Linked DNA regions of Rhinolophus ferrumequinum. The protein of the gene in region 1 interacts with the protein of each later gene in a pairwise test. Links are inferred from orthologs where the notes say so. Each region holds a gene or a part of one and is shown on either strand. Other genes may lie near its edges.

Region 1 (10,689 bases):
ACACTTGGCCTCAAGCTACAGAGAGGCCAGTAGGGGGATAGGATGAAATCCCGTAGGGTTATGCAAAGCAACGACTCTATCAGAGTTCCTGTCTGGTCTTCTCCACACAGCTCCTCCTGGCCTTAGGCGTCCTCTTCCTCAGGCCTTTGCCCAGCATACACACTCTTCCTTTTCTTTCCACCAACCTCACTCCAGTCTTGACAAAGCTAGACTTTTACCTTTAGAACTTTTGGAACAGAGAAGAGCGATTGGGCATAGAAAGAAAAAGGAAGGGATAGGCCATTTGGGCCCCTTGAAAGTTTTCTTCTTGAGGCCTTCCTAATACCTCTTTGTGTTCTGCTTGCTTAAACACACACACACACACACACACACACACACACACACACACACACCAAAAAATCACCACTCCTCAATCCTCCATGTGGCGGGTTCTTCCACAGCAGTGTCTAAGTTGGGCTGAAGGTCATAAGGTAGGATGGAAAAAACCCAGCGCAGCTCCAGGGGAGTAGTGAGCTAGAAAGAACACATCCTGAGGTCACCTGCTTGTTCAGCACTTCTTCCCTGTAGCTCCATCAAGCACTTAAGAAGCATGCACTAAGTAATCCTGTCCCCTTCAGAGGGAGTCAGTGGAGCCCTGGGGGTTTAAGTGAGTTATCCAAGACCACAGAACTGCACAGCCTAGAATGGGACCTGGACCTTGTTGGACTCTGAGCCAGGGGGAATGTCCATTCTTCCTGATGAGCAACACCAGGCCCAGTTACACCCAGAGGGGAAACCAGAGCTGTCAGCCTTGGCCACCACCATTCTCTCCAAAGGGCCATGTTCCAGACATTGGTCTCATCCCATCTTCCCATCACAGCTAAGTCATCCTGATCCCAGGAAACCATTCCTGCTGTCTCCTGCTTTCAATTTCATCATGTTCCTTCCTCCAGGCTTAAGACCTAAAAAAGAGGCTTCTGAGTAGCTAAGCCTGATGCCCTGGTTCTCTTCCTTTCCAACTCTCTAAAATAAAGTTAAAAGTCTGCTCTCTGAAATCTCCGATGGATGGTCCTGTGGAGAGACCCCTCTTCTTACTGACCTGAGGTAAGTTATTAAGGGGAAGGCTGACCACATCAGCCTTTGCAGGTTGAGGTAAAAGAGATGCCAGCCTGGGGAGGGAGTGGAAATCAGGGGTCATGTAACTGCCAAGGGCTCTGCCCACTCCAACGCAGAGCATCTGAGGGAAACAGAATAGCAAAGCCAACCTCCCTCCCAACTAGACTATTTTATCATGATCTACTCTGTCACCTTTCCAGTAAAGAGAGGCAGTGCTAGTAATCATAATAACAGCTGTAGTAGGCGGAATAACGGCCCCCCAAAAGATAGAGACCTAGATAGTACCTAGAGCCTGTGAACATTACCTTATGGCAAAAAAATAAAATAAAAATGATTTTGCAGATATAATTAAGGATCTTGAGATGGGAAGGTTATCTTGAATTACCCGGGGAGGCACTAAACGCAATCACAAATGTCTTTACAGAAGACACAGAAGGAGATTTGACACAGAAGAGAAGGTAATGTGACCATGGAGGCAGAAATTGGAGTGATGCAGTCACAAGCCAAAGAATGCCAGGAGCCACCAGGAGCTCTAAGAGGCAAAAAATGCATTCTCTCCTAGAACCTCCAGAGGGAGCATAGCCCTGTTGTCGCCTTGATTTCAGCCCAGTGACACTGATTTGGGGCTCCTGGGCTCCAGAACAGTATGAGAATAAATTTCTGTTGCTTAAGCCACCCAGTTTGTGGTTTCTTGTTACAGCAGCCGCAGAAACTAACATAATAGCTAACACCTAATGAGTGCCCACTATGTGCCGGGCATTGCACTAACATGTTACCCACGTTGATGCATTACATTCCAGCCATGGATATGAGGCCTGAGCTGAGCAGGCGCACTGACTGGGTTTGAATCCCACATTCACTGCTTCCTATTGTGACCCTGAGCAGTTGCATAATCTCTCTAAACCTTTGTTTCCCAATTCATAAAATGGGCACATAAATACTTTTCTTGTTTGGTTGCTAGGAGGATAAAATAGATAGTAGGTAAAGTGCTTAGAACAGTGCATAGTAAGTGATCAGCAAATGCTAGTTGTAATGAGATCTCAGTGGTTGAACAAGCCAAAATTAGACCCTCATCCTAATCTATCAGGACATGGACAAGTGCAGGAAAAAGATGTCCCTTTAAAGCCAGTTTGAATAGCAAACATGATGGTCTGAGGAGTTAAGTATTTCTTCCCTTAATTAAGCAATTTATTAGGTTGGTGCAAAAGTAATTGCAGTTTAAAAGGTTAAAAATAAATGCAAAAACCGCAATTACTTTTGCACCAACCTAATAGTTCCTTACACTGGCCTCATTTCATAAAGGGAAAATGCCTGGGACTGTGCTAATTCTGCAGCATCGCCCAACAGACTTCCAGGCCCCTATCTACCATTCGTAAGGAGAGCTATGCTCAGTCATCATCCATAGGCTATGTGCAGCCATCATCCATAGGAAGGACCTAACTTGCAGCATCCACACCTGACACACCCCTGCAGAGCCCACCACAACTGCTCCCTGCAACTCTGGCATCAGGAACTGAAGCCCCTGTGCTTGGAAGCCAGTGGGAGACAGAAACATCAGTCCATATTATGGCCTTCCAAGGCCACGCCAACCTGACCCAGCAGGCTTGGTAGAATGATAAAATCAGAGGTCTGCTTTGATTAAGAGGTTACAGCCAGGTTAGTAAAGAAAAATCAAGGTTTGCCCAGAGGCCCTGGAAGGGAAACCTAGAGTTATCATCTGAAAATTGGAAGGGGGCGGGGGAGAAAAAAAAGTTTCATTAACTTGGCCCTTCCTAATAAAGTTTCCCCCACCTCCCACTCCAGGTGATGTAATTCAAAGAAGCAGCACCCCACGGGATCCCAGGCTGTCTGTTCCCACCTAAGAAATTTGTAAGCAACCAAGGGAGAAGGGCCTGACCTTTGGGCCTTGGCTTCCTTCTAGGCAGGGTTCCGGCCCCACAATCTTGGATGCCCAGCTTCAGAAGCCCCCTGCTGCTACTGCTGCTGCCTTGTGCTGGGATCAGGCCTCTTCGCAGCAGGCAGCAGGGGCAGCCACCTGCGCTTTCTCTGCCTTTCCCTACTCAACCCTCCTTGGGGAAGAAGGATGTTGGAGGACAGCTCCCCCCCCCCCTTATTCTCAGGCACCCACAGATTTCTGCGCTGCCATCACCACTGACAAGAACTCAGGTCCCCTGAAAGAACTGCTTTCCTTATTCCTTCCTCCCGATCAATGAACACGCAGCAACACCCACGATCCCGCTCCTCCTACTCCGGTGAGAGACCCAACCAGAGAGCAGCATCCGGACCTGGAAGCCGCTGCAGTGGGAGCGCCGGCCTCACTGCCCCGCTGGTCCCTTACCGTCTCGCAGCCATCAAGAGGATCCTAAGCTAGCCCTGCGTTCCGGATCAAGAGGATACCTAAATCCCCAATGGGGCCCCGCCTCCCCAGGGGCTCCGCGGTTAGCGGACAACAGCTTAGCCCCACCCGCGGAGGCCGGACGCTGGGAACGGTTCCCGGGACTCGAACCAGGTGCCGTCTCCTTGAGACATGCCTCACCTTAGGCATTCCCAGCAAGTCCCCCGTACAGCGCTCCCGCGCGGCATCTTCCCCTGCACCCCGGTGGGGAGGAGATGAGAGCCGGGCTCCTGCGCGCCCATCCTGCCCTCAACAGGACGTGGGCAGCGGGGAGCGCGCCGCCCGTCCCGCAGGCGCCGGGAGGCGAGCTGGAGCGAAGCCGAGGGTCTGCCGCTTGGGACGGGAGGGGTCGCAAGGGCTGCAAGCCCGGCTACTTACGCGCGGGCTCTGGGGAAGCCCATGGACAAGAGCACGTCCAGCGCCGATCCATGCTTGATGGTGCCGGGGCGCTGCTGGCGGTTCCTCCGCGGGGTGACTTTGCTGTACAGCTCTTCTCTCGCGGCCATGCCAAGCGGGGTGGGGTGGCCGTACTGAGCCATGGCTCAGAGGCCAGCCATCGCCGGGGAAGATGCTCGAGTCGGATCGTCCCGGAGGGAGGAGGGAGCTAGACTACGGTAGGGCAGGGGGCTCCGGGCCGAAAGCCGGGCGGGAGGCGGCGGAGAGGGCGGAGGCGGCGCAGAGCTTCCCGGGTGTCGAGATTCTGACGCTTCCTGGTGAGGCCACCGAAGCCAGAACGGCCCGCCAGCAGCTTCGGCCCGGCCAGCAATTCGGCTACTCGGGCCTCCGGGTGCCCCCAGCGCGGCGTCTGCAGCAGCTTCGCTCCTCCGCCTCCTTCCTTCTCTTCTCCCAGCAGTCCGGGAATTTGCAATGAGTAATTTTTGAATGGATCAAAAAGGAAAAGGAACCTTGTGGGTTGGCCCTGCCTTGCCTGTGCCCGGGCCCCGCCCCTCTCTTAAAGCTGCCGCGCCGCCGGAGGCTGCTGGAGGCAGCGCACAGGCTGTAGAGTCCGGTGCTTCTAGATGGAAAATTGGAACCAGCGTAGGCTGCTTGTGCGTTGGGATCCGAGAGTTGTTCCCAGCGCCCCTACCTTCTCCATGCCTTGCATATAGGGCCAGATGGGCCTCAAGACACCAGATCAATCAATGCAAGTTTCAAGTCCTTCTAGATGGGGTTAATAACGGAAACTGAGAGAACCAATGGATGACATTAATGAGCTACAGGGCCAAGACAGAAGGCCCAGATAAAAGGTTTTGCTTTCAACAGACTCTGCAAAACCTAGAGGATTGTTATGGCCGTTGAAGACCAATTCTATCAGCCCGACAAGTGGCCATACTGAAAACATAACATGCTCTCCATGAATAAGATAGTGACGTCAGGGTAAAGAGTAGGACCTCAGGCTCTCAGTTCTGGTTGGAGAGAGGAAAAAGAGGGACAGGACAGGGCAGAAAGAGGAAGAGAAAAGAAGATGAAAGGAGGAAGGAGGAGGAGAGACAGGACGTGGGAAGTAGAAGGAAGGTGGAGGGAGAAGGAACGGAGAAAGCACGCTCTCTAACTGTAAGATGCTGTTGATTTTGGTGTTGCTTTATAAGGCATCTAAACATTTTACCAGGGGAAATGGTACAGCTTAATCCTCCTAGCCCAGAATTGGTTTTCTCGATGGTTTTCTCAAATGGAATGGGTTGATTTTCATTAGAGAATGAGTTCGCTGTCAATAAAAGGATTCAAAGAAAGACTGGATCATCACTGGTGAGCCGTCAGGAATAAGCGAATTGCTTCGTAGGTTGGACAAAACTACTCACACCTCAAACAAGATGGACTTCTTACCCACACCTAGTCTCCCATGCCCCACGTCATGAGCTTGCCCGGGAGATGTTAAGGCTCTTTCATTCCGAGATAACTTATTGTACTCAGTCAGAGACAAAGACCCCACTTGGTGTAATGGAAAAGGCACAAAGTAAACCCTAGCTGCTCCTCTTTTTCAGGTAATGATAATAATAAAACTTAACATTTATTAGACTCTTCTATGTGTCAACCATTATGCTAAACATAATAAATGAATTAATTCGTTGAATTTTTACAATGACCCTATGCAATGTATATGATTACTATCCCAGTTTCACAGATGAGAAAACAGCTCTGAGAGGTTGAGGAAGATCTTAGAGCTGGTAAGTGCATAGCCAGAGCTTTTATCCACTGTGGTGCTCTGGGCAAGTTGCTTCTGCCTTGGACAGCCCCATGTCCTTATCTGTATGCATCATAGTACCTAGCATTACACGCACTGGGTTCTCAAAAAATGTCAGCTCTTTCCCCTGTTTGGAGTGTGGAGGAGGGATGGTGACCACACTCCCGAGCAGCTTTTTGGTGTTGCTTTATAAGGCATCTAAACATTTTACCAGGGGAAATGGTACAGCTTAATCCTCCTCGCCCAGAATTGGTTTTCTAAAGAATATCCAGTGGTATTTGGAGTGAAGAGATAAGGACTACTGGGGCTTAAGCAACAATGTGCATAATTCTGCCTCCTGCTGTGTAAGGGATGAGGGAAAGTTCATACTTCCTGGGTAGATAGAAGCTTCTGTCAGAGCAGAGGAAATGTGCTGGACTTGCAGAGTGCTTCTCCAAGGCATGAAGCAGAGACAGGACTGGGCTGGAAAAACAACACCTAGTAGACATTCTCCTTGGGATGTGTTCAGTAAAGGATGCTGGACCTTACCCAATATTCTGAACTTCTCCTTCTTTCAGCCTGGGCTGAAAGTCAAATGATCTGGAGCCTAGTCAAGAGCTACTAAAGCCTGTGGAAGTATTTTGTAAACCATGAGCACTACACAATATAATAGTTCAAATTGATTGAGAACTTGCTATATGCTGTTGCTGTTGTTGGGTTCTTAAACATATAACTCATTTACTCTCTCAACAAGGCAATGAAGTAGGTACTACCATGTTACCATCAGCCACTTTACAAATGATATTGAAGCAGACAGAAGTCAAGTATCTTGTCCAAGATCATATGGCTAGTAAGTAGTAGAACCAGGATTTGAACTCTTAAAATTTGCCCAAACAACCATTTGTCACCATTGTTAAGATGACGAAGAGATGCCAACCATTGAAATAACATGGTCCCTTTTGACTCCTTTTATGCCCCTTGACATAAAATTGCTGGATCTGTTTCTCCAGAAAAATTGAATTAATTGTCTTTGTAGAAGTGGAAGAAACTTTCCTCTACCCTCGAGGTTCTATACAGATTAGCAAAATAAAATAACCAAAATTAGTACTTATGTACACATTGGGACCCCACATAAATGAGACCTCACATGCAAGACAGTTTCAAAGACACAAAGGGAAAATGGGTATCTAAGACATTCTGAGCAAGAGAAGAGGTAAGGTGCTTTGGGGGCTTCAAAGGGTCATTGCAGGACGATAAGAAGGACAGGTATTCAGTAGTTAGAAGTTTGCCTTGCCCTACAGATAGGTCAAAAAAGATTATCTCTGATAATCTCTTATTATGGGCAAGGTCCCTTATTCAAATTCTTCTAGATAGTAAAGGTGGGGGGCAAGGGGCAGAAGTTTTTCTTAAGCCTGAAGCCAAAGTTGCCTTTAGTTCAGAACAATCCATATTCCACTGAGGCACATCTTGGGGTGATTTATTCTGAACCCCTATATTTTTCTCCCTGCCGATAGGCAAACTGTAAGAGGAAATGATGGATATAAAAATATTTTTAGGTAGCCTGAAAAAAAGCAGTGTGGAAAACCAGATACCTTAGATGTAAAACTGCTTTGTCTGGGACTTGCAGAAATCCCAGCCTGATTTCCTCACCCTTCTTCAGCTCAGTGCTGGCACTCAGACTGCTGCCATTTGTTCTGCAAGGGGTAGAGGGGTTAACAATTAAGATACATTGTGTTTTAATTGTATTGACCTTGAACAACTAAAGAAAGCTTTATAAATGCCCATATTGTTATATTACAAAGAAAAGAGACATGACTATGCATCTAACCAGATATCTGATGACAGTAGTGGGAGGAGTGAGGCATAAATGGGGACTTGCAGAGTGAGGGAGCTGACACATCAGCACTCAGTTACTTCCTCAGAAGAACAAGCTAGTTATCATGTACCCCTGCACCAATGGGTCATGTCAGGATCTACCTTGAGACACACACCTCTTTCGTGCACACAGTTTAACTCCACCCCCACTGGCCCCAGCCACTCTTTTAGTGTGTTAGCCCTTCTGAAATGGCCGCAGGGCTGGCCAGGATGGGGATCCAGTTAACTGAACTCATAATTTCTGAAGTGTATCCTATGTGTTTTCCTTCTCCTTCTCTCCACCCTTGAGAAAATTTCAAGTGATTGCGTTAAGAACAGGTAGACTTTAGTCTACAGAATGTCTCCAGTTCTGAGGGCTGCAATGGTGCCATGGCAAATGAAGGTAGTTTTCAAACCACTAGAAATGACTTTAGCCCCTAGACTTCAAAGGGATTCCTCATGGCCAGAAGATTTTGAAACCCTGTGGTAAGGACAGAAAGGGAAGACCATGGGAGGGCTCCAGAAATGGGAGTCGGGAAGCCTGGGTGTTGACTGTGACCTGGAAGTGTTCTCTGCCCCTCTCGGGGTCTCAGCTTCCTCACCTGCCAAATGAGGGGGTGGCTTAGGCTGGGGATTCCTAGGACTTTGCCAAAGGACCCTTGATGTAGGTGATGTTGGATCTGCCAGCAGTTTCTGAGTGTGGGCCTGGATCGTGTCTCGTGAAGCCGAAGAATGGAAACACGGACCAGGGAGAGGCAACAAGTTTTAAAAAGAGGATAGTTTATTAGAGGCAGGAGAAGAGGTTGCAGCTCCCGAGCAGGAGGGGATCCCGAATGGGGGGTGCCCCATGACTGAGGCAAAAGCTCTTACTTTTATACCTTCCCTTTGCCTGTTTGGGGAAGGGGAGCTCTTTGGAGAAGGGAACTTGTCTGAAGAAGGGAACTGGCGCCTTCTAATGAAATTTGTCTACCAGGTTTCTTCTGCTTGCTCATCCTGAAGGAATTAGCAAGGTAACCCACTCTTATCTATCAGATCAGCTCCGTTTGGCCAAAAGGAGTTTTATGATTAACCTAAAGGCCTTGTTACATTATGTCCTGGAGCGAAGGAGTGATTTCAAAACCTGAAGTTTTAGGATATGGCTGTCTTTTCTTTATTTTACCAGGGACCTACCTATATACCTAGCAATCATACTAACTAACCTGTCTCACCCTCAGGGACTCTTTATGAATAAGGGTTGCAGTTACTCATCTGAAGGTTGAGTAGGCGAAGCATGGCATCTCTCCTCTTTTCAGAGCAGGTACACGTTCTTAGCTTTATGTCTTGGGGGTTTTATGTTTGCTTTTCTGTGAAAAGGTGGTTTAGAAGATCAAAAAACATTCTGAAAAACACTGTGTCAGATGATCTTTAATGCCCAGTTTATTTCTGAATGGCCATAATTTAATAAAAAGAAAAGTAAAGAGGAATGGAGCAGGACTGACAAGAGGGAGAAGAGATTGCTGGGAAGGAAAGGACAGCTGAGGAGTGAGTTGTGGAGAGAGGACAGTGGTCCTCTACGCAGGTGAAATCTTAGAGTGAAGTGGACTTTAAAAATAATGTTATTCACACTATTAGAAGAAATTATAATTATGGGACTGGACAGAACATCACAATGGCAGTCATATTGTAGTATTAATGTATCAGATCAGTATGTTGTTCACTGCAAACTTACACAATGTTATATGTCAATTAGAACTCAATAAAATAAAATAAAATAAAATAAAATAAAAAGTCATTCATTCTTATATCTTGAGGCATAATTGTAACAAATCTAAAGACCTGGAGATTGGTGACTATTTCACAGTCTGAAATTTGTCCCTAGGACTTAACATAGTACTGAGACAGGGTAGTTATCATGTCCCTAGGTAGACAGGGAAGTCCCTGGTGGACTAAACAAAGACAGCCATATCCTGAAACTCCAGGTTTTGAAATCACTCTTTCGCTCCAGGACATAACGTAACAAGGCCTTGAGGTTAATCATAAAATTCCTTTTGGCCTGACAAATGGAGCAGATTTGATAGATAAGAGTGGGTTACTTTGCTAATTCCTTCAGGATGGGCAAGCAGAACAAACCTGGTAGACGAATTTCATTAGAAGGCGCCAGTTCCCTTCTTCAAACAAGTTCCCTTCTTCAAACAGCTTCCCTTCCCCAAACAGGCAAGGAAAGGTATAAAAATAAGAGCTCTTGCCTCAGTCAGGGGCCACTCCCATTCGGGACCCCCTCCCACTCAGGAGCTCTGACTCTTTGCTTTTAATAAACTATCCTCTTTTTAAAACTCTTTGCTTCTCCTGGATCTGTGTTTCCATTCTTCTGCTTCATGAGACCCGATCCTGGCCTACACCCAGAAACTGCTGGCAGATCCAACATCATCTATATCATTTGGGGACTCATGGGAAAAATGTTCCTACATCAGTACTGGGCACATAGAAAGTGTGTAGTAACATTTACATGATTGTTGATGGATTGTTTAATCTCTGAAGCCATGTCACACAATAGGAAAAACTAAGGCTGAAACAGTTTGGAGCATCACTCCAATCCAATAAAAAGATTATATTTTTCTCACATTGAAAAAAATTAAGATCTCTCCCTCAATTGCAAAAGCAAGAAAGAGAGGTGGGAGGGGTATCTATTTTTATTTCTTTTTCGCCCATCTCTGAACAAAAATCCCAGCATGTCTATTCTGGAATTCTCATAGGAGATACTCCATTGTCCATGTTTCCTCCTTGTAAAGGCCCCACTGCCCCAGGTTCTGTGTCCCTAATTTGCTTCATAACAATAGAAGTGTTGTGAAATAAACAGTACAAGTTAAAAAAAAAAAAAAGAGTTTGTTTCCTCTTCTCACACAACTTTCTTTTTTATATAAAAGGAAATGTATGGGCAGCATAGGGGAATTTTTATTTCTAAGTAACAGAATAAAATTAGGTAGAGGTAAAAACCTAGATATGAGGAGGAAAAAATAAAAAACAAAAATTTGCTTTAAAAGAGTGGAAACAATGCTGTCTCTGAAATGGACATCAGGACTTTTTCACAAGGTTGGCGGCAGAGGGGCAGAAGGAAATATAGAGGAGGGATGTATGCAGATGTGTTCATATTTATATTTTCGTGATAACCACTGAAGAGTGTGAATCTTTTTTGGCTGTACTATAA
Region 2 (10,271 bases), on another chromosome or scaffold:
TCTCCCCAATGAATTCGTTGTGGCTCAGCTTGTCTTCGTCACACACGGAGATCCTGGCGGGGAACGGCAAGGTCAGGGCCCCCCTCAGTGTGAGAGAAAGGGCGTCTGCTGGACCCTGAGCACTGGGGGGCTGCTCCCAGCTCTGCCCCCAACACCCCGCACCTCACCTGTAAAACGGGCCGTCTCAGGCTGGTGAGCCCATGCCTGGCGCCTGAGAAGCACGCGTTCACTCACGCTGTTTCCTCTGGCCCCCCCTTTCCAGCTGCCCAGGCCCATGAGGACCCGCTCAGCTACTTCCGGAAGCCCTCACGCCTCTTGGGGACCCTCCTCATCCCCGCCTCCATGTAGGGCCTGCGGATGGATCCAGCTAACTGTGCACAGGGTGTGCACGGCGCATGTGGGTCATAGATTCAGGGTGTGAGCGCCAGAACGGCCTGGAGGAGCCCTGGGCCGGCGGACAAGGAACCCACACCTCCCCTGGAGCTCCTGTGCTGCAGGGCGCGGGGAGCCAGCCTGGGAGAGATGCGGGAGCCCAGAGAGACGGAAGGACTGCTCTGACTTCTGCCTTCCCCTTCTGCCCTTCCTGCCGCTGTGACACTCCTGGTTCAAGTCCCAGCTCTGCCACTTCCTAGCAACCGTGTGACCTTGGCCAAGTTGCCGCCCTAAGCCTCGATTCCCACATCTGAAATGGAGAGGAGGACACCCTCCTACAGATCTTCCGAGGACCCAGTGAGGACCCAGTGAAAGGAAGAAACGGAAGCACGCGAAGCGCAGGGCCGGGCACTGGTGAGCACTCAGTGGTTTAGGCCGTGTTCTCCAACATCTGAAACACGGGCCAGCCTTTTTGGTTTCCACCTCCGCCTCCCCTCCAGCCCGCCCCCACCCAGCACCAAGGTGACCTCTGGGAAACAGCCCTGAGCTGACCCATGTGCCCCTGCCCTGATGGCTCCCTACTGCCCAAAAACAAAGGAGACATTCTCCCAGGAGCCTGGGTCTTGCTGCCCTTCACTCCTCGCCTGGGAGGACTCTCCACAGCTCCACCTCCTGGGATGACGGAGCAAGTTTCCTGTCCCCTAAGATGTCACTCCTTAGAGATGTTGGGGGAACAGAGGCAACAGAATGGGCAGGAGTCCGCTGCCTACGTCTGGCTTAAGTCCGGGGCTCTGAGAAGGGGTGTCAGTGACCAGGGAAAGCTTTCAGGAGGCAGAGCCTCAAATGATGAGGAGCATTTAGGGTGGCGGAAAGAGGGGATGAGGGAGCGCTTTCCAGGTAGAAGAGACAACAGGCACAACTCAGGAGTAATGGACCCCCGTCAATCAGGAGAGGGCAGTCCTCTGTTGGAGGAACAGTAGGACATGTTGGGGGCGGGTAGGAATGCCAGGGAAATCCTCTGGCCTGTGCTGCCTAAGGGGTTGGGGCGCCTCTATCTGAGAGGGGCTCATGGGAGGTGGATTAACCAAAGGTTCCAAGGACAGCTGTGGGGGGGGGTGCCGGTCAGCAGGGGGGACGGGCCCCTCACCTGAGCACCTTGTGGGTGATGTCGTCATCTGTGATCCCGCTGTACATCAGGTCCTCGTTCCATACGGGATTCAGCGTGTTCCTCTGCGTCTTCGTTTTCAGCTTATTGGCCTAAGGTGTGGGGACAAAGAGTTCTCAGTACATGTCCTCTAGAGCCACAGAGGCTGAAAGCCAAGGAAGGCTGGGGACAGACCCACCAGCTGGGTCAGGCTAGGGGAGGGCGGAAGCTGTTACCTTGCAGGCTCCAGGTAGCAGGTGCAGCTTGACGTAGGGGTCGGCCAGGCCATTGAAATCCATGGGCTTGAGGCCCTGGGGGGTGGGGGGAGGCAGTGAGCTCCCGGTACCCCCCCCTGCAGAGTGTGGAGAGCCAAGAAGAAGGGATCCGGGGTTGTGGGGGTGCATGGAGAGGGGAGCAGGGGTCCAGCGTGGAGAAGGGGAAGGAGGATGGAAACCCACCCCTCCTGGTGGGAGCAAACGGAGCTGGGGCTGCGAGGTCAGGCACTCACCTTGGCCCTAAGGATACTACAGTGCAGAGTGCAGGAGGCCTGGTCGTAGAGAAGGTCAAATTCCAGTGTGCCCAGGGCAGCTGGAGCAGAGGGAAGAGGCGGCGTGAGGCAGTGTCACACAGGTGTGTGTGCGGGACCGGTGGGCAGGCCGGCTGTGTGTGCGGGGCTCTGTGTCTGGCCGCCGCGAGTGTGTGCGTCTGGGTCCCTGGTTGGGCTGCTGCCGCCGGGGCTGTGTGGGTGGTGGAGTGTCTCAGCAGAAATATTGAATCTTGAGCCTTGCTGAAGCTGTAATCTCCACAGTGACTGCAGCTGTGACAGCGCCCGCTGCTGCTTCCCCCTCACACACCCAGCAGGGCCCGTCCCCTTCCCACCAGCCAGGAGGCCCCCAGAGCAGCCTGGGGCTTTCCAGCCCCCGACTCACTGGTATCATCCGAATCATAGCTGTCCATCTCAGCTCCATCTTCCGGCGTGGTGGCCCCCAGGAGGGCTGCAGGGGGCGCCAGGGCCAGGGGGGCCAGCCCGGCAGGGACCTCCCCAAAGCCCCGGCCGCCCCCTTCGGGTCCGGGTCCCCGGCGGGGGAAGTAGTCGGAGATCTGGCGGATGGGCCGGATGGGCCCCGGGCACACGTTGATGGCCATGTGCTCTTGGATGTTGATGCTCATACGGTCACCCCTGCGGCCCCTCATGCAGCACCCCTGGGGGGCGGGGGGGGGGAGGTTCAAGTTCCAGAGAGCGGGCGCCAGTGCACTGCCCACTGCTTATACCCACAGTCTGCCGGTGGAGGGCCAGGCAGCAACCTCCCTGGTCTGTGGCCTCCCCTCCTAGGTGTCCAGAGAGAGGTCAGCCTGTGCCAGCTGATGAGCAGGCAGGAGGCTCGGGGCCTCCAGACCGCCAGCCTTGCTCCACTCTCCCCAGATAGGTCCCGGTTGCATCTCAGCCTTGCCCACTTATCTCTGGATGGTCCCTTTGTCATCTTCCTAGCTCCTGCCCCTCATTCTGGCCTTCCGTCTGCCCCTGGGCCCTGCCTACTCCCCGAAGCCCCTCCTCTGTCTCTCTGAGGCTCTATCCATCCTTCTGCACCAGGCGCCTGTCTGGTCCGGGTGTCGCCCACCCCTCTAGACATTCACTCCCCACTGTCCAATCTGCCCCAGGAGCTCCCTGCGTGCCTGGTCCCCCACCCACTGCAGCCCAAGGTGAGACACCACCACCACCCCCACCCCCCCACCCCCGCCCCAGCTCAGATGCCTCCTCCTGAGACTGGCTTTCTAGAGCCAGAAATTGCAGCCTCGGGAGAGGTGAAAAGCCCCGTGGGCACACGCAGCCTAACGCACACACTCCCCTCCCCCTGACGCCCCCGGCGGCCCAGCCCCCTGCACCTGTCTCTGTGCCTCCAACAGGTGCGCAAGCACTGGGGGGACGGCGGGTGCAGGCTGGGCGGTGGCGGCCAGCGATTCCCAGGGTAGCCAGCGAGAAGAGTGCGGAGTCCGGCTGTGCGCGGAGAGGGAGGGAGAGGAGAAAAGTGCGGGAGGAGGGGGTGAGCGAGGTGGAGGCGCTGAGACTGCGGGCGCGGGAGGCGAGGGGCGGGGAGGGGCGGCCGGGACTCTCCGGCCGGCGCCCCCCGGGCACACTTGGAAGCGCACACGAGTGCACGCACACCCGGGCACGCAGGCTGGCACCCGCATCTTGCACGGGCACTCGCGCCCACACGCCTGTGCCCACGTGCGCACGCTCACACACATGCACAGACCCAGACACGCGCTGACACACTCACCCCGGGAAACTTGACACACACACGAGCTCCCGGAGCCACCGGGCACCTGCAGTGATAATTGCCGGGTGTTCCCCAACTCCACCCCGGAAACCCAGCCCCCGCCCCTGCCCCCGCGCCGAGCCCACGGGCCCCCTCCCTCGCTCTCTCCTTGGTTCCCTATAGAGTCTCCAAGACCCGGCCACCCGCCCAGTTGCCGTGGCGACGCAGGCTGCCCCCCTTTCTCCCCGGGTGCATCCTCACGCTCCCACCCGCAGAGAGCTTGCGGGGGAGGGAGGAGGGCGTCCGGCCCTCTGGTCCTCAAACCTGTGGGTAGGCCCGGGGGTGGGGCGGAGCTTGGAGGTCCGCAGTGACCCGGGCGCAGTGATCCGCCTGCGATCGATCGCTGACCTGGGATCTCAGGGTCGCCCAGCCCAGCTGGGGGACCTCACAGCCTGAGGGAGGAGGCAGAGGTCCGAGGCTGTGTGTTTCCCACGGCTCCTTCCTTCCTTCGGCTGTTCAGGCGTCTCTCCTAGTGACCCAACCCAACCCCCAAGGGCCGGTGTCCCTTTCACAGGGATGGCATCTCCTTTGCAAATCCACCCTCCCTTGTCCCTCCCCCCACCCGCTCCAGTTCTGTCCCTCAGGTGGGGAGGGGCGTCAGGCTTCGCTCAGTTTTCCTCAGCTGTCTCCGTTTCTCACCGGAACCCTGCCACCTGTCAGTCTAACTCCAGCTCTCCTTTGTCCCAAGCTTGCTATCCCCCAAAGGCGTCCATCCTCACAGGGACCTCCAAGGCCCTTCTGCCCAGCACCCTGACTTCTGTGAGCTCATCACCCCTGTTCCTGGCGCCGGCTCTCAGGAACGTTCCTTGCAGTTCCTAGAACACACCTGGATCTCTGTATTGCGTTTTTCTTTCTTTCTTTCTTTTTTAAGGAGGGCGCAGCTTACAGTGGCCCATGCGGGGATGGAACCTGCAACCTTGGTGCTACCAGCACCATGCTCTAACCAATTGAGCTAACGGGCCACCCCCACACCTGGATCTGTCAGGCCTCTGGACCTTCGCTCACCTCAGCTCCTTCACCTGGAGGGCCTTCCCTTCCTTCAAGGGTCACCCGTGAGTCAGTCCCCTCTTTCTAGGAGCCTTCCGGTAGCATCCCCCTTCTGCCCCCAGCTTCCAGTGCTACCTCAGGCTCAGCTCTGATGACGCTTGTCATGCCTGCTTCCATTTCTATCTCTCCCCACCCTCCACCAGGGAGCAGAGGCTGCCCCGAGCTGGGCCGGTACTAAGTTAGCATTACTAAAAACTGTGATTTAAAAGTAAGAGACATGCAATTGTACAACAATGTGAATATACTTTACTGAACTGAATGCTTGAAAATAGTTAAGATATATGTTTTTGTTTTTTTAAGATTTTATTGGGGAAGGGGAACAGGACTTTATTGGGGAACAGTGTGTGCTTCCAGGACTTTTTTTTTGTCCAAGTCAAGTTGTTGTCCTTTCAATCTTAGTTGTGGAGGGTGCACCTCAGCTCAATGTCCAGTTGCCTGTTGTTAGTTGCAGGGGGCGCAGCCCACCATCCCTTGCGGGAGTCGAACCGGCAACCTTGTGGTTGAGAGGACGTGCTCCAACCAACTGAGCCACGCGGGAGGCAGCTCAGCTCAAGGTGCGGTGTTAAATCTTAGTTGCAGGGGGCAGAGCCCACCATCCCTTGGACTCAAAGAATCGAACTGGCAACCTTGTGGTTGAGAGCCCACTGGCCCATGTGGGAATCGAACCGGCAGCCTTCGGAGTTAGGAGCATAGAGCTCTAACCGCCTGAGCCACCGGGCTGGCTCCAAGATATATGTTTTTAAAAAGACATGCAACGTCAAACGACACTGAGAAAGCACTTGTCATCTATCAAATGACAAAATTCCAAGCATCTGGTAACACACAATGTGGGCGAAGTTATGGGCAAATGGAGACCAACTCTTCAGAGGCCAGTCTGACCGTGGATCCCAAGATGGCAAAAACATACTCGCAGACTCTTTGACTCCAAAGTGCCTCTTCTAGGATTTTATCCTATAGACATAGTGGATATTTTATCCCATAGACATATTCTGCTCCATGAGCAGAATAATAAAAGTTCAAGTTTATTTGCAGTGGCACAAGATTGGAACCAACCTACATGTCCACGAGTAAGGGACAGGTTCAATCAGTTATGACACAGTTTCATACAATGAAATACTATGCAGCCATGACAAAGAAAGAGTCCCTTTCTGTACTGAAAAAAGTGAGGTATAGAGCAGCGTGTGTCAAATGCTGCCATTTGAGTGAGGCCAAAAGAGTTTATACGTGTTTGTTTATTTGTGCATAAATTATTTCTGGAAGGCTGCACCAGAAAGTGGTAACTGTGGCGACCTCTGAGGAAGTAGCTCTGAGGCAGGGCAAGGCAGGAAACAGGAGTGATTTTTCAAGGTACACGCTTTGTATCTTTTGAATTGTGTACCACGTGCCTATGTTACCTATTCAAAAGAATGTATTATTTTAAGTAAAGGCAACCATTAGGTTTCCGCTGGGGCTCTCCAGGATAAGGAAGGAGGTGGAACTAAGGGAGAGGCCATCCACAACCGGAGCTGGTGGCTTTGGTGACAGGCGGACCTGGGTCTGCAGTGAGGGGAGGGGCAGGCTGGGCCAGAGGCTTACAGCCGGGCAGCCTCTGCTGTGGTCTTCCTAAGGGGCTTGGCTCAGGCCCAGTAGTGTCCCCCAGAGAGGCTTGTCGGAGGTGAAGGGGAGCTGGAGCTCAAGCCAGTTGTAGGGGAACACAGACAGCGGTGAGCCCGGGGTATATCAGCAGGTGGAAAGGCTTTCTGTCTGTCCGTCCATCCACTAAGTCAATGAATATGTATTGACTACCTACTATCTCTTGTGCTACGACTCTGATGAACCAAGGTGAACACTCTCTGGCTTCACAGCCTTGTAGGGAGACAGACAATATGCAGTGAGACTGAATCGGTAACCTCGGCTGGTCACAAGGTGTGGAAGCGCAGGCGCGCCCCCCACCCCGGAAGTGTTGTCTCTGCGGCGGAGAGGAGCCAGCCCGGGGTCCAGTGTGGGCAGCGGCGTCCCGGGCAGAGCTGTGTGCCAAGGTTGGAGCGTGCCGACGAAGGAAGAGCCTGGAAAGAGCCGAGTAGGGTAGGTGGACAGGGTTGGGCAAAAGTCTTACAGGTCAGGCGAAGACGTTCAGAACTCACACGGGAGCCATGGGAAGCCATTGGAGGGTTTTCAGTAGTGAATCTGCGTTTTCTGGTTTGTTCTCCCTAGGGGAAGAGTGAATAGAGAGGTTAACCAATCTGCAGACTGTGGCAGTAATAAGCGGGGTGAGACATGGGGTTGGCTTGAACAAGGCGGGCAGCCGGAGGGGGCAGGGAAGTGGATGAATTTGAGATTGCTATTGGAAACTAAGCCTACAGGTCTTGATAATGAGTTCGTCAGGAGAGAGACAAGAAGAGATCTGAGATGATTCCTGGGCTTTTGTGTTGAATGAAGCATCTATAGGAATCATGAGACCCTTTGCTGCGATGGAAAGAAGCAGCAGGTTTGGGGTAGGAGAATCCAGAGCTCCGTTTGGGGTCTGTTAAATTCCAGATGTTTGTGGACATGAAACAGGAAGTTGGGTGGAGAAGTCTGGAGCTCAGAGGAGAGGGCAGGGCTAGAAATATACATTTGTGAGTCATCAGCTTATAGATGGTATTTAAAGCCATGAGACTGGATGAGATCACCTAGGGAGAGAGAATATAGATAGAAAAGAGAAAGGTCCAAGGCTGAGCTGGTTAGAGAAAATCGGTGAGCATGGTTCTGGAGGCTGCAGGCTCAGAAAGCTGAGGCAGAATGAACCGAGAAGTAACCATTACATTTGGCAAGTTATGAGGTCATTGGTGGATTTGGCAAAAGTGGCTTCAGGAGAGTGTTGGGGATGAAGCCAGGTCTGAAGGGGCTGACAAATGCATTCGAAGTGACGGAGAAGAGACAGCATACATAGCAGTCGCTTAGAGGTTGTTGGTCTGTACTGTAGTGGTGCGTACCCAGGCGTTCTCTCCCCTGAGTGCCCCAGGGCAGAGAGCAAGCCCTGGAGATTCTGTCTAAGCCACCGTGGAGCCCAGCACACAGTAGGAGCTCAGCACATTTATTTCATAGTTGGGTGAAGAAATGAATGGATACTTTACTGCTTGAGTCTTTTCTGGGAGAGAGGGCAGCTGTATTCTTCTGAGGAAACTGCAAACTCCACGGCAAAGGCGAAAGGCTCTGAACCCCTTCTCCCCGCTAAACCCCAGGAGCAGCTGCACACGGGGCTGGGGCTAGAGCCCTGGCCCAGAGCCAGGAAGCAGGTTGAGTCCCCGCTGCCCCTCACAGGCCTGTGACTTTGGATAATTCACTTCCTCTTTCTTAGAAGAGGTAAGTGTAAGGAGACAAGGCCCATCTGAGCCAGTCCCCAAGATGTTAGGTTAGGTTCCCTCCTCTTTCCTCCTTTTCTCTCTGGGCCTTTTTCTTCTTTGGGAAGCTGACTGTGGCAAGCGCCTCCCAGTGTTACTGTGAGGAGAATGGGTGGGTGGTCCCTGAGGGCAGGAAAGATGAGGGATGGGGAGCCAGCAGAGGAGGGAGCCTCCATCCGTAGGGCAGGCGACCTCACACACACTACAGACACATGTGTGGCTCAGGGGTAGTCATGGACCTGGGACTGTCAGAGGCTGCTGAACAGGCATCTGTGTAGTAAAACCAAGGAGACCCTGGAGTGTCCTTGGGCTTGGGTAGGGCGGGACACCTGTGACAGACAGGCCTACCTACCAATCAGAGGGGAACTAACTCTGAAGCTGAAGGGGGCTGCAGGAGTGAAAGTGGCTGTTGGGAAGTGACATATAAGAGAAAATCGGAGACTAGGAAGGGAAAATGCGATGGCCTGTGGGGGAACCCACCCAGAAAGGGGAGCCTGTGAAAGCTCTGGGCCTTACCAAAAGACCTGCCTTGAGAGACGGGCCAGAGGGCTTCCTCTGATAACCCCTATGCCTGCCCTTCCCTGGCAATACTTCCTCCTGAAGCACGTGATGCAACCTGAGGAAAAAGGGCGGTGAAGGGCCAGGAGTTGGGGAGCAGTGTCTTTCTGGGGCAGGACGAGGGGAAACAGGCAGGCAGGCATGAACACTGCTGCCACCTAGTGGGAAAAGCCTGTTATTTCTCCTGTTCCCAGCCCCAGGGTCAGCAGCTGGGCACTGAGAGACCCAGTTTGGGAATTGGGGAGCCCCCGAGGCGCCTGGATTGGGGGCCACAAGGCCAGAGGGAGCCTCAGGGAGGAAAATCCACATCCCTGGGAAGTGTGCTTTGCTCACATCACTTTGCCCGTCTGTGCCTTGGTTCCCTCGTTTGTGTAGTGAGGCCTGGAGGACCTACCTCATTGGCGTTGTTAAGCCGGTTAGGCGAGTCAGTCCATGTCAAGTACTCGGCATAGTAAGAAGTGCTCAATAAATGCTCCTGCGGTCGATCCAAGGGGTAACGAGAGGGGTGGAACCTTGCCGCCCCTAGAAGTCCCCATACCTTCTATACTAATGCGTGTCCCTTAGTGCCACCAAGTTTCTCCTGTTTCTAAATTCTGGGGCTGCCACTGTTCATCCCAAAGGATGAGGCTCTGTGGGTCCCAACCTCTCCCCTTGATTCCAGTGGGGTTGGGGGGAAGGTTCCAGCTCTAGCACCTTCCGTCTCCCTTCCCCTCAGTGTGGGCTCAGAATGGCTCCAGGCTGTGACATCACAGAGCTGTGACATCACCTGTCACAGGCGTGGAGGGGTCATGAGGCAGTGGCAGTGGGCATGGGTGTGGGTGTGGCTGGTTGGGCTGGGGGCTGTAGAAACAGGTGGGAAGTGGTCCTGGGAGCAGTGGGGAGGCAGAAGGCTTGGGGGGACGGTTCCCTTAGGGGTCCAGAGGCCAAGCCTCCGCCTTTCTCTTTGCTGTCTGCACTTCTCGCCCATCCTCCCCGTCCAGAATGGGCCTTCTCCTGGAGAGCTCAGCTGACCTCTGAGAAGTTCCCGGAACAATTTCAAGCCCCTTTACAACCACACTAAGGCTGTGTGGCGTCTTGGGGTGGGTGGCAGGGGTCTGCTTGGCTCTTGTCATAGACTCTGCTTTGGATCCCCAGCACCCAACCTGGAGAGTGCCAAGTCCTTGGCCCTGGGGCCACAATCTCCACGCTTCATAGACAGATCTGACTTCTTTGATTACTCAGATTCAGACCAAGCCAGGCTCCTGGCCGTGGCGCAGTTTATTGGAGAGAAACCTGTCATCTTTGTTAACTCAGGTATGAACCAGCTTAAGAAGGGGGCCTCCTCCTTGCCCAGGGCCTGGAGGAGAGCAGCCCCAAGAGACAAGTCCAGGGTCCCCATTTCCGCTTCCTTGTCTGGCAGGTTCCAACCCTGGGTTCTTCCACCACATCCTAGTGGGCGCTCTGGTGGTGGCCTTCTTCTTCCTCCTTTTC

The links.
Region 2: the proteins of UBASH3B (region 1) and DOC2A interact in binary tests that used the Homo sapiens proteins (3 or more experiments, as listed by UniProt). The link is inferred for Rhinolophus ferrumequinum from reciprocal best matches to the Homo sapiens genes UBASH3B and DOC2A.

Annotation. Positions count from the first base shown.
Region 1 is NC_046308.1:37,594,017-37,604,705, forward strand, and holds the start of UBASH3B (ubiquitin-associated and SH3 domain-containing protein B), read right to left. Parts: upstream 4,360-10,689; 5' UTR 4,030-4,359; coding exon 3,869-4,029; exon of another isoform or gene 3,733-3,868; coding exon of another isoform or gene 3,632-3,732; intron 1-3,631. UniProt on the Homo sapiens protein: Interferes with CBL-mediated down-regulation and degradation of receptor-type tyrosine kinases. Promotes accumulation of activated target receptors, such as T-cell receptors and EGFR, on the cell surface.
Region 2 is NW_022680357.1:990,516-1,000,786, forward strand, and holds the start of DOC2A (double C2-like domain-containing protein alpha), read right to left. Parts: upstream 4,174-10,271; 5' UTR 4,099-4,173; intron 3,877-4,098; exon of another isoform or gene 3,796-3,876; intron 3,513-3,795; 5' UTR 3,401-3,512; intron 2,720-3,400; 5' UTR 2,711-2,719; coding exon 2,446-2,710; intron 2,105-2,445; coding exon 2,025-2,104; intron 1,828-2,024; coding exon 1,753-1,827; intron 1,630-1,752; coding exon 1,520-1,629; intron 54-1,519; coding exon 1-53. Other genes in the region: C15H16orf92 (fertilization-influencing membrane protein), read left to right, coding at 9,590-9,653, 9,936-10,094, 10,201-10,271. UniProt on the Homo sapiens protein: Calcium sensor which most probably regulates fusion of vesicles with membranes. Binds calcium and phospholipids. May be involved in calcium dependent neurotransmitter release through the interaction with UNC13A.